Linked DNA regions of Caenorhabditis elegans. The protein of the gene in region 1 purifies or fractionates together with the protein of each later gene. This does not show direct contact. Each region holds a gene or a part of one and is shown in the gene's direction. Other genes may lie near its edges.

Evidence for each region. The genes of interacting proteins can lie anywhere in the genome.
Region 2: the proteins of natc-1 (region 1) and daf-31 fractionate together in Caenorhabditis elegans (co-fractionation; one large-scale study listed by BioGRID). This does not show direct contact.

What each region holds. Positions count from the first base shown.
Region 1 is NC_003283.11:8,460,411-8,464,169, forward strand, and holds the start of natc-1 (Protein MAK10 homolog), read left to right. Parts: upstream 1-1,948; 5' UTR 1,949-1,989; coding exon 1,990-2,059; intron 2,060-2,105; coding exon 2,106-2,245; intron 2,246-2,290; coding exon 2,291-3,483; intron 3,484-3,533; coding exon 3,534-3,757; intron 3,758-3,759. Other genes in the region: T23B12.6 (BTB domain-containing protein), read right to left, coding at 1-5; dnj-22 (J domain-containing protein), read right to left, coding at 762-1,451, 1,497-1,697.
Region 2 is NC_003282.8:8,288,655-8,292,155, forward strand, and holds daf-31 (N-alpha-acetyltransferase daf-31), read left to right. Parts: upstream 1-1,618; 5' UTR 1,619-1,622; coding exon 1,623-1,769; intron 1,770-1,821; coding exon 1,822-2,081; intron 2,082-2,504; coding exon 2,505-2,646; 3' UTR 2,647-2,842; downstream 2,843-3,501. Other genes in the region: nucl-1 (Nucleolin homolog 1), read right to left, coding at 1-205, 252-864; K07H8.2 (SLC41A/MgtE integral membrane domain-containing protein), read left to right, coding at 2,931-2,990, 3,078-3,181. UniProt on the Caenorhabditis elegans protein: Catalytic subunit of the N-terminal acetyltransferase A (NatA) complex which displays alpha (N-terminal) acetyltransferase activity. Plays a role in regulating larval development, metabolism and longevity.

The sequences.
Region 1 (3,759 bases):
GCCATCTTTCTGTAAATAAAAATTAAACATATGGTAAATGTTGATAGGAAAAGACAAGAAAAACTGGGGGAAACGGGTGATTATGGAACAATGATAATGACGGGAAATGGACGAGAATGGGTGGACTGACAGGTGATTGGCAATTTTTAACCTATGATCTGTTGATAAACGGTAAATTGAATGAAATTGAAAAAAAACTATATTTTGGGGTTTGATGAGGTAAATAGTCTGATTTATGGAAAAGAAATTACCATAAACTTTTTTGCGCGCAGAAACCCATCTGAATAAATTCATGTGCCTTTAAGAGGGCATGTCAGAATCTTCTGAAATTATGATAAACTTTTTTAATCTAAAAATTTTATTTTGGGAAAAAACATTTGAAATTCTTCATAGCATTTCATTTTCAAAACAGATTCATTAACCAATTTAATTGGAAATCGTTTAGTATTTACATGCCATTTGAAAGCGTGGAAGCTTCTAAATGTTCAGAAATAAAGTTCGAGATAAAATCGAAACGAAATGAGGTTGTCGGGTGAGGGATTGTGGAGCGTCGTGACACACTTTCTTCACGTCTGCGTCTCTTAATATCGGCAATCTTTTGTGTTTAATGAGTCGCAAATGGGAAAACCGAGGTTTATGTTCAATAGAAAAATACATTGGAACTTACACGAAAAACCAATCGAAAAGTGTTTGAAGATAAATATAAATAAGCTAAGTTTTATTTTTATAATTATATAAAAATAAACAAAAACATGAAAATATTAGAATCCACCCATAATTTGTGCTTCGAGATCGTCCAAAGACATGTGCTCCAAATTGTTGGCACCCGTATTAGTTGATTTTACTGGCTCATCCGAAGCTTTCTTCACAGTTTCCACCGGTGGTTGTAACCATTCACACGTAATTTCAGGCATCGGAGCATTCCCAGTTTCAAGTTCAGCTCCCCATGCATTTGCTCCCGACTCAAATTCGAGGATTCGTTTCCGTCGATCTTTTTTCTCTATTGCCGAAGATATGTGAGATATGATTCCAAAAGTCGAAAATAATTTTCGAATATCGTCTTCAGAATAGTCTAATCCTTCTGATGTTTTCCATTTCAAAAGTAATCGAGGAGTTAATTTTTCTTGACTTTTCTGATGCTTTTCCCTTTCTGTTTTCATCAATGTTGCCTTCTGTTTCACCTCTTCGTTGACTTCTTTCTCCAACTGCCTCCGAATTGCTTCAATTTCTTCTTTAAAGTTTCTTTGATCGGTTTTCTTCTTTTTAGCTTGTTGTGCTGCTGTCATTGGAGTTGATCCATCTGCTGACCGTTTTCCACCATTGGAAAACTCCTTTTCTCTTTTTTCTAAATCTTCAATTAACTTTTTCCTTTTTCCATCTGCTTCAGCCATTCGTTTACTATGGTGTTCCTGAGCCATTCGAATTCTCTCTTCTCGATTATCATATTCTTCCTGAAAAATAAAGTATTACATTGACCAGCGACAGTAAAAACGTACTCGTTTCTCTTTATCATATAAAAAATCGAATGCTTCTTTGGCTTCAATGAATCTACGTTCGGCTTCTTCTTTATTATCCAAATTTTTGTCCGGATGCCATTTAAGACACTGTGCACGATATGCCTTCTGAATTTCTTTGTCTGTGCATCCCTTTTCGAGATGGAGAATTTTGTAGGGATTTGCACCGGGCTTGAGTGGCATTTTGAACCTTAAAAAAACTATTATTTCGAATTTGAAACGGGAAAAATATAAATATCATAGAAAAAATCCAGAAAGAGCTGAAAAGTTAGAAAAAGACAAAAAATTGTTTCAATTCTTTCGAAAATAAATGTTTTTTAAAATTGTCCATAGAGCGCGTTTGCTCTGTTACGACACTCCAAAATAACGAGGTGCATGTTGTTTACCGTAAATCCCATTATCAGACATTGTTCTTAATTTTTTAACATTTCTCAGATTTCTTCAAAGTTTTCTAATATTCAGCTTTACGGGTCCAATGCCTGGTGCAATGGAATCTCCAAACGAAAGCGAAGACGTTTCCAAAACGTTTTTTAAACTTTGCGATGGTAATTTCTATAGGTTGGATATTATAATTTTTCTCAAAACGTTAAGGCTTGCGATTGGGCGAACTGGTAACCACAGAGCATTTTCGGCTCTCAGATGTCATGTCAGCAATTGAACTGGGAGAACCGAAAATGGACGTTGGAGTAGGATCAAAACACATTAAAACATTGAAAGAAGCGATTAGTGGGGTATTTTGTCAAATTTCATTATCGAAACTAAGTCAATAATTTCAGGGACTCTACGCCGACGATTATCCTTTTCAACTTGCAATTATGGATAGTACGTTAGCGATGGTTGTCGCTTGGCTCGAAGGAAGTGCACTTGGATCGACAGTCTGGACAAACGTGCTGCTTTCAAATGTGACTTTTGTTAAACATCCCGTTTTCCACCCATTCGCATCCGGCGTCAATCTTTTCATTCGAAATGCTCATGCACTTATCAACAGTGTTGGTAACCTAGAAGAGTTACCCGAAGATTTCAATCCACAAATGCTCTTCAGTCATCAGAGATGGGCTCCTCGCAGAGTCGTCGTTCAGCTTATGCGAGAACAGGTTACATTGCTCGGTACTACTGGAAGAAAGTGGAGAGAGTCAGCATTCAGTAAACAGGCGTACGATATTTGCTGTGCTGTTGCATCCCGTCTTGAAATGTTTATTATGCTTTTGGAAATTATTGGCTTATTGGTTGCACCAGAAATTGAAGATCCTAACTTCGATCACAAAGTTCATCTGGGGGATTTCTATGTTCACGAAAAAGAATATGAAGGAGCCGAAGAGAATTCTGACGAAAAATCAGAAGAATCCACGTCTGATCCAACGCCTTCAAGTGAAGCAAAATCGGAAACCACAGAGAAGAAAGAACAGAAAAGTAATGATGAAGCAACAGATGAAACTGATCAAAATGATGATGAAAATGTAGGCGACGACGAAGATGAAGATGATATGAAACAATTCAAGCCCAATTTTGGATTCGCCTCGATTTTGGCTGAAAGACTGTGCAAGGTCACAAAGGCTTATGCGGAAACAGTTAAATTAGGAAGAAGAGCACCCGACAATATTGATGGTGATGGTGACTACCTATGGCTTGGCGCATATGAACCAAAAACTTGTATACGAATGATCCCGGCATGCTTCCCTCGAAAAATCAAGGTTCCATCAAGACAAGAAGCTGCTGATTGGTGGGTGAAGTGTGCTGAAAGAATATATCACCTATGCATTGTCACTCCAAAAACTTCAAAAGATTTGAACTATTTGTTCTACTTTGCGAGAACTTTCGGTCAGAATGCATGCGTCTTCACCAGATCTCTTCTTCAAATTTGCATGTTCCCAGTCGACAACCATCTGTGTGGTGATGAGAATCGATCAATTGCTGACGCCGTTGAATACTCACTGAGCAACTGCTTCTGCCCACAAATTCTTGATAGAGTGTGAGTACTTCTCAACAAGAATACATCACGAACTTATCTCATTATTTCAGATCTCCTGTTTACAAAGATCAAACTGCTCAAAGTCTATATGTGTTATTTTTGAATCACATGTCAAAACTCGCAATCACCGTCTATGGTAGTTTTGGATGCAATTTATCCCGTCAAAGAGATCGTCTTGAGATGGCCATTGAAGATCTTGGTCAAATCCATTCATATGCTGGACGACTGGAAGAGCGAACTGATGAAGTATTGCTTAGCGGAAAAATGGTTACTGGT
Region 2 (3,501 bases), on another chromosome or scaffold:
TCTTCCTCCTCCTCATCATCGTCCTCTTCGTCATCGTCAGAATCTTCAGCAGCCGTAGCAATGGCACTCTTAGCAGTTTTCTTTGGTGGTTGTGGCTCCTCATCACTCTCCTCCTCATCTTCTTCGTCTTCACCAGAATCGTCTTCTACTGGTTTTGTTTGTTTTGCAAACGGAGTTCCGGTGGCAAGCTTTTTCTTCGGGACTTCTGGAATATTGAATAATTGCAAATAAATCTAAAATCAGCACTATACCCTCTTCCTCGTCGTCATCTCCATCACTATCATACTGTTTTCTCTTATCGCTAAAACCAACTCGGCTGCCTCCCCCACGAGATTGGAAGTTTCCTCTTCCTCCGCGCGGTGAGAAATCGTTTCCACCGCGTCCACGAGGTGTGAAGCCACCACGACCGCCTCCTCTAGGGGAGAACTTATTGCCACCACGGGACCCTCCAGAGAAATCTCCTCGACCGCGATTAGCTACACCACGATCTCCTCCTCGCCATGGAGAGCCACCACGATCACCTCCACGGAAGTTGCCGCGGTCTCCTCCACGCCATGGAGATCCTCCACGATCTCCACCTCGGAATCCACCACGGTCACCACCTCGGAAGCCTCCACCACGTCCTCTTGGGGAGAATCCACCTTCACGATCACCACGGAATCCTCCTGGTGAGCGACCTCTATCTCCTCCTCGGAATCCGCTTGATGAACGTCCTCTATCGCCTCCACGGAATCCGCCTGGAGAACGTCCTCTATCTCCACCTCGGAATCCACCACCGCCACCACGTGGGGTGAAGCCACTGCCACCACCACGACCACCGCGGAAGCCTCCGCCTCCGCGTCCTCTTGGTGAGTCGAAACCCATTTTGATTGTACCTGAAATAAATAAAATAAAGTTAGGAAGTCCTAATTAGAGTTAAATCAGGAAATAACAGCGACCAAATGTGTTGTAATGATATATTTCGATATTTTATGCATTATAGTAATTTTTAAGCAGAAAATTTCTTCAAAAAACGTAGAAAAGCGATTTATTTCAGTGATAAACATGAAAAAGTACACAAAGAGAATGTTTCTAAATTCGAAATTCATCGATAAGCGGGCGCAGGTCTCGCCACGATCTCTCGAATAAATGCATGCGCCTTTAAACGTTAATTTTCTTGCTGGCGGCAGCCGGCTTGCAACGGCTTTCAACAATTCGACAAATCAATAAAAACTGGATTTTCCGTACATTTCTTTTTGTTTGTTATCAAAACCGTTTGAACTGTCAATTATACACTTTTTAGAATTCGTTTTCATCAATTAGAATGTTTGTTCGTATTTATATTGCGTGATATTCTTTTAAAATTGAACAAAATAGTTTAATATAAATATTTTATTTGCAAAACTCTGTCATTTGCGATACATAGTTCTTTCCTAATTGTTTTAGTAAAAACTTAAGTTTCACGTGCCACCTTATCCACGTTTCTATTTCTACGGTGTATTGCCCCTCGGCGAATTCGAGTTATAACTTTTTTACAAGCTCGTATATTGCAAATCCTCCATTAATCTCTATTTTTTTCTCCTTTTGCATTCGCTTCCGAATTTTTTGTGCCGTTTACTCAACTGCTCTATCTTTGCAGCAGGATGAACATTCGTTGTGCTCGCGTGGACGATTTGATGAGCATGCAAAATGCGAATCTTATGTGCCTTCCAGAGAATTATCAAATGAAATACTACTTCTATCACGCTCTTTCTTGGCCGCAGCTCTCTTATATTGCTGAAGATCACAAGGTATTTTTTATTCTCATGCAAATCTTGACTTGAAACATTTATTGTTGTTCAGGGAAATGTTGTTGGATATGTTCTCGCCAAAATGGAAGAAGACCCAGGAGAGGAGCCACATGGTCATATCACCTCTTTGGCCGTCAAAAGATCTTACAGACGTCTGGGATTGGCTAATAAAATGATGGATCAGACCGCAAGAGCCATGGTCGAAACCTACAACGCTAAATACGTATCGCTTCATGTTCGTGTATCAAACCGAGCCGCATTGAATCTATACAAGAACACACTGAAATTCGAAATTGTGGATACAGAGCCAAAGTAAGTATTAATTTGAATAAATCCTCATTTCTCGGCGCGGATTAGTTCGTCCCTCGATGAACAACTGAAAAAATTCTAATCGACGTTTCCCAATCACCCGTTCGATTTCCAACGTTATACTTTTTACAGAAGTGATGGAATTAAATAATTTTGTATTCTTTTTTGGTTCACCTATTTTTAATTTTTGTTCCAAGTCAAGTTCAAATTGAAAAAGGTTATTGTGATTATCAGTGAAAGGACAAAATGTTTCGAAAAATAATTACGTTTAATAACGTGGCGCTTTTTTAAAACAATAAACAAAAATATGCGAGCGAGGTGATTAAACTTTGGCATCAATCAGAAGAAACATACTTCAATTTGCAAATTATGATAACTTTTAGAACCTTATTAACCCTAATTATTAACAAAAATGACAAATTCCAGATATTACGCGGATGGAGAAGATGCATACGCTATGCGTCGCGATCTCGCAAAATGGGCAGAAGAACGGAACATCGAGCCAGCAGATCGAGAGGCCTATACCACTGCAAAAACCACTGACGATAAAAAGAAAAATCGCAGTTAATTCGTTATCAAAGTTTATTTTTGCCTTTTCCAACTGGTTCATTCTGATACTTTCTCTGTTCTCCCCTTTCAGGAGGATCTCTTTTCTTTCAATTCTCGTTTCCTCCTCTGGTTTTAGATTAGGTAAAAATTTAAGTTTTCCCCTGAATAATCTCTTTGATCCCCCTTTGAAAGCTCATTAATAAATTTAAAGCATTAAAATGGTTTGTAGATGTTATAAGCAGTTGATTTCTGTATTCAAATATCTGTAAATATTTATTTCGACCTTTAAAGTTAATGTTTTAGATGAAAGGTGGCGGTGGAATAGGGGATGGCAAAAAGGACTATCAATCAGCTGTTCATGAAGTAAGTTTTTATTAAAAACTCTGTTATTCCTTTTAATAGTTTTGAGTGATTCAGATGAAATATAGATTTTAAATCTAAATTTTTCAGGGATTAACAACATTCGATCAATTGGGAATTGCACTTGAAGATGTCGGTAAATCAATGGACGCAGAAACAGCTACACCAGGAGGAAGTTTATTTTCCAGAGTTATGTAAGTGATTCGGTTATTCTCGAAAAAAAACTCATTGTTGAAAATGTAGCACTATTTTCTAACATTTCAACAAATAAAATTCTGGCTCACTACCGAGTTCGTATTTTCAACATTGAACAGACACATGGAATTGTTTTCAAAAATCATTCGGTCTCACACATTATGGAGGGAGAAACAGTTTAACCTCAACGCAAATCCGATTTGGTCGAATCGTTTCATCGCCTCTCCCTCTGCTCTCATAAAACAAATAGATTGAGAGTGGTGTTACACGAGTTTTCCATACCAAATGAGATCCTTTTTGACAGGTCGGAGAGAGAATT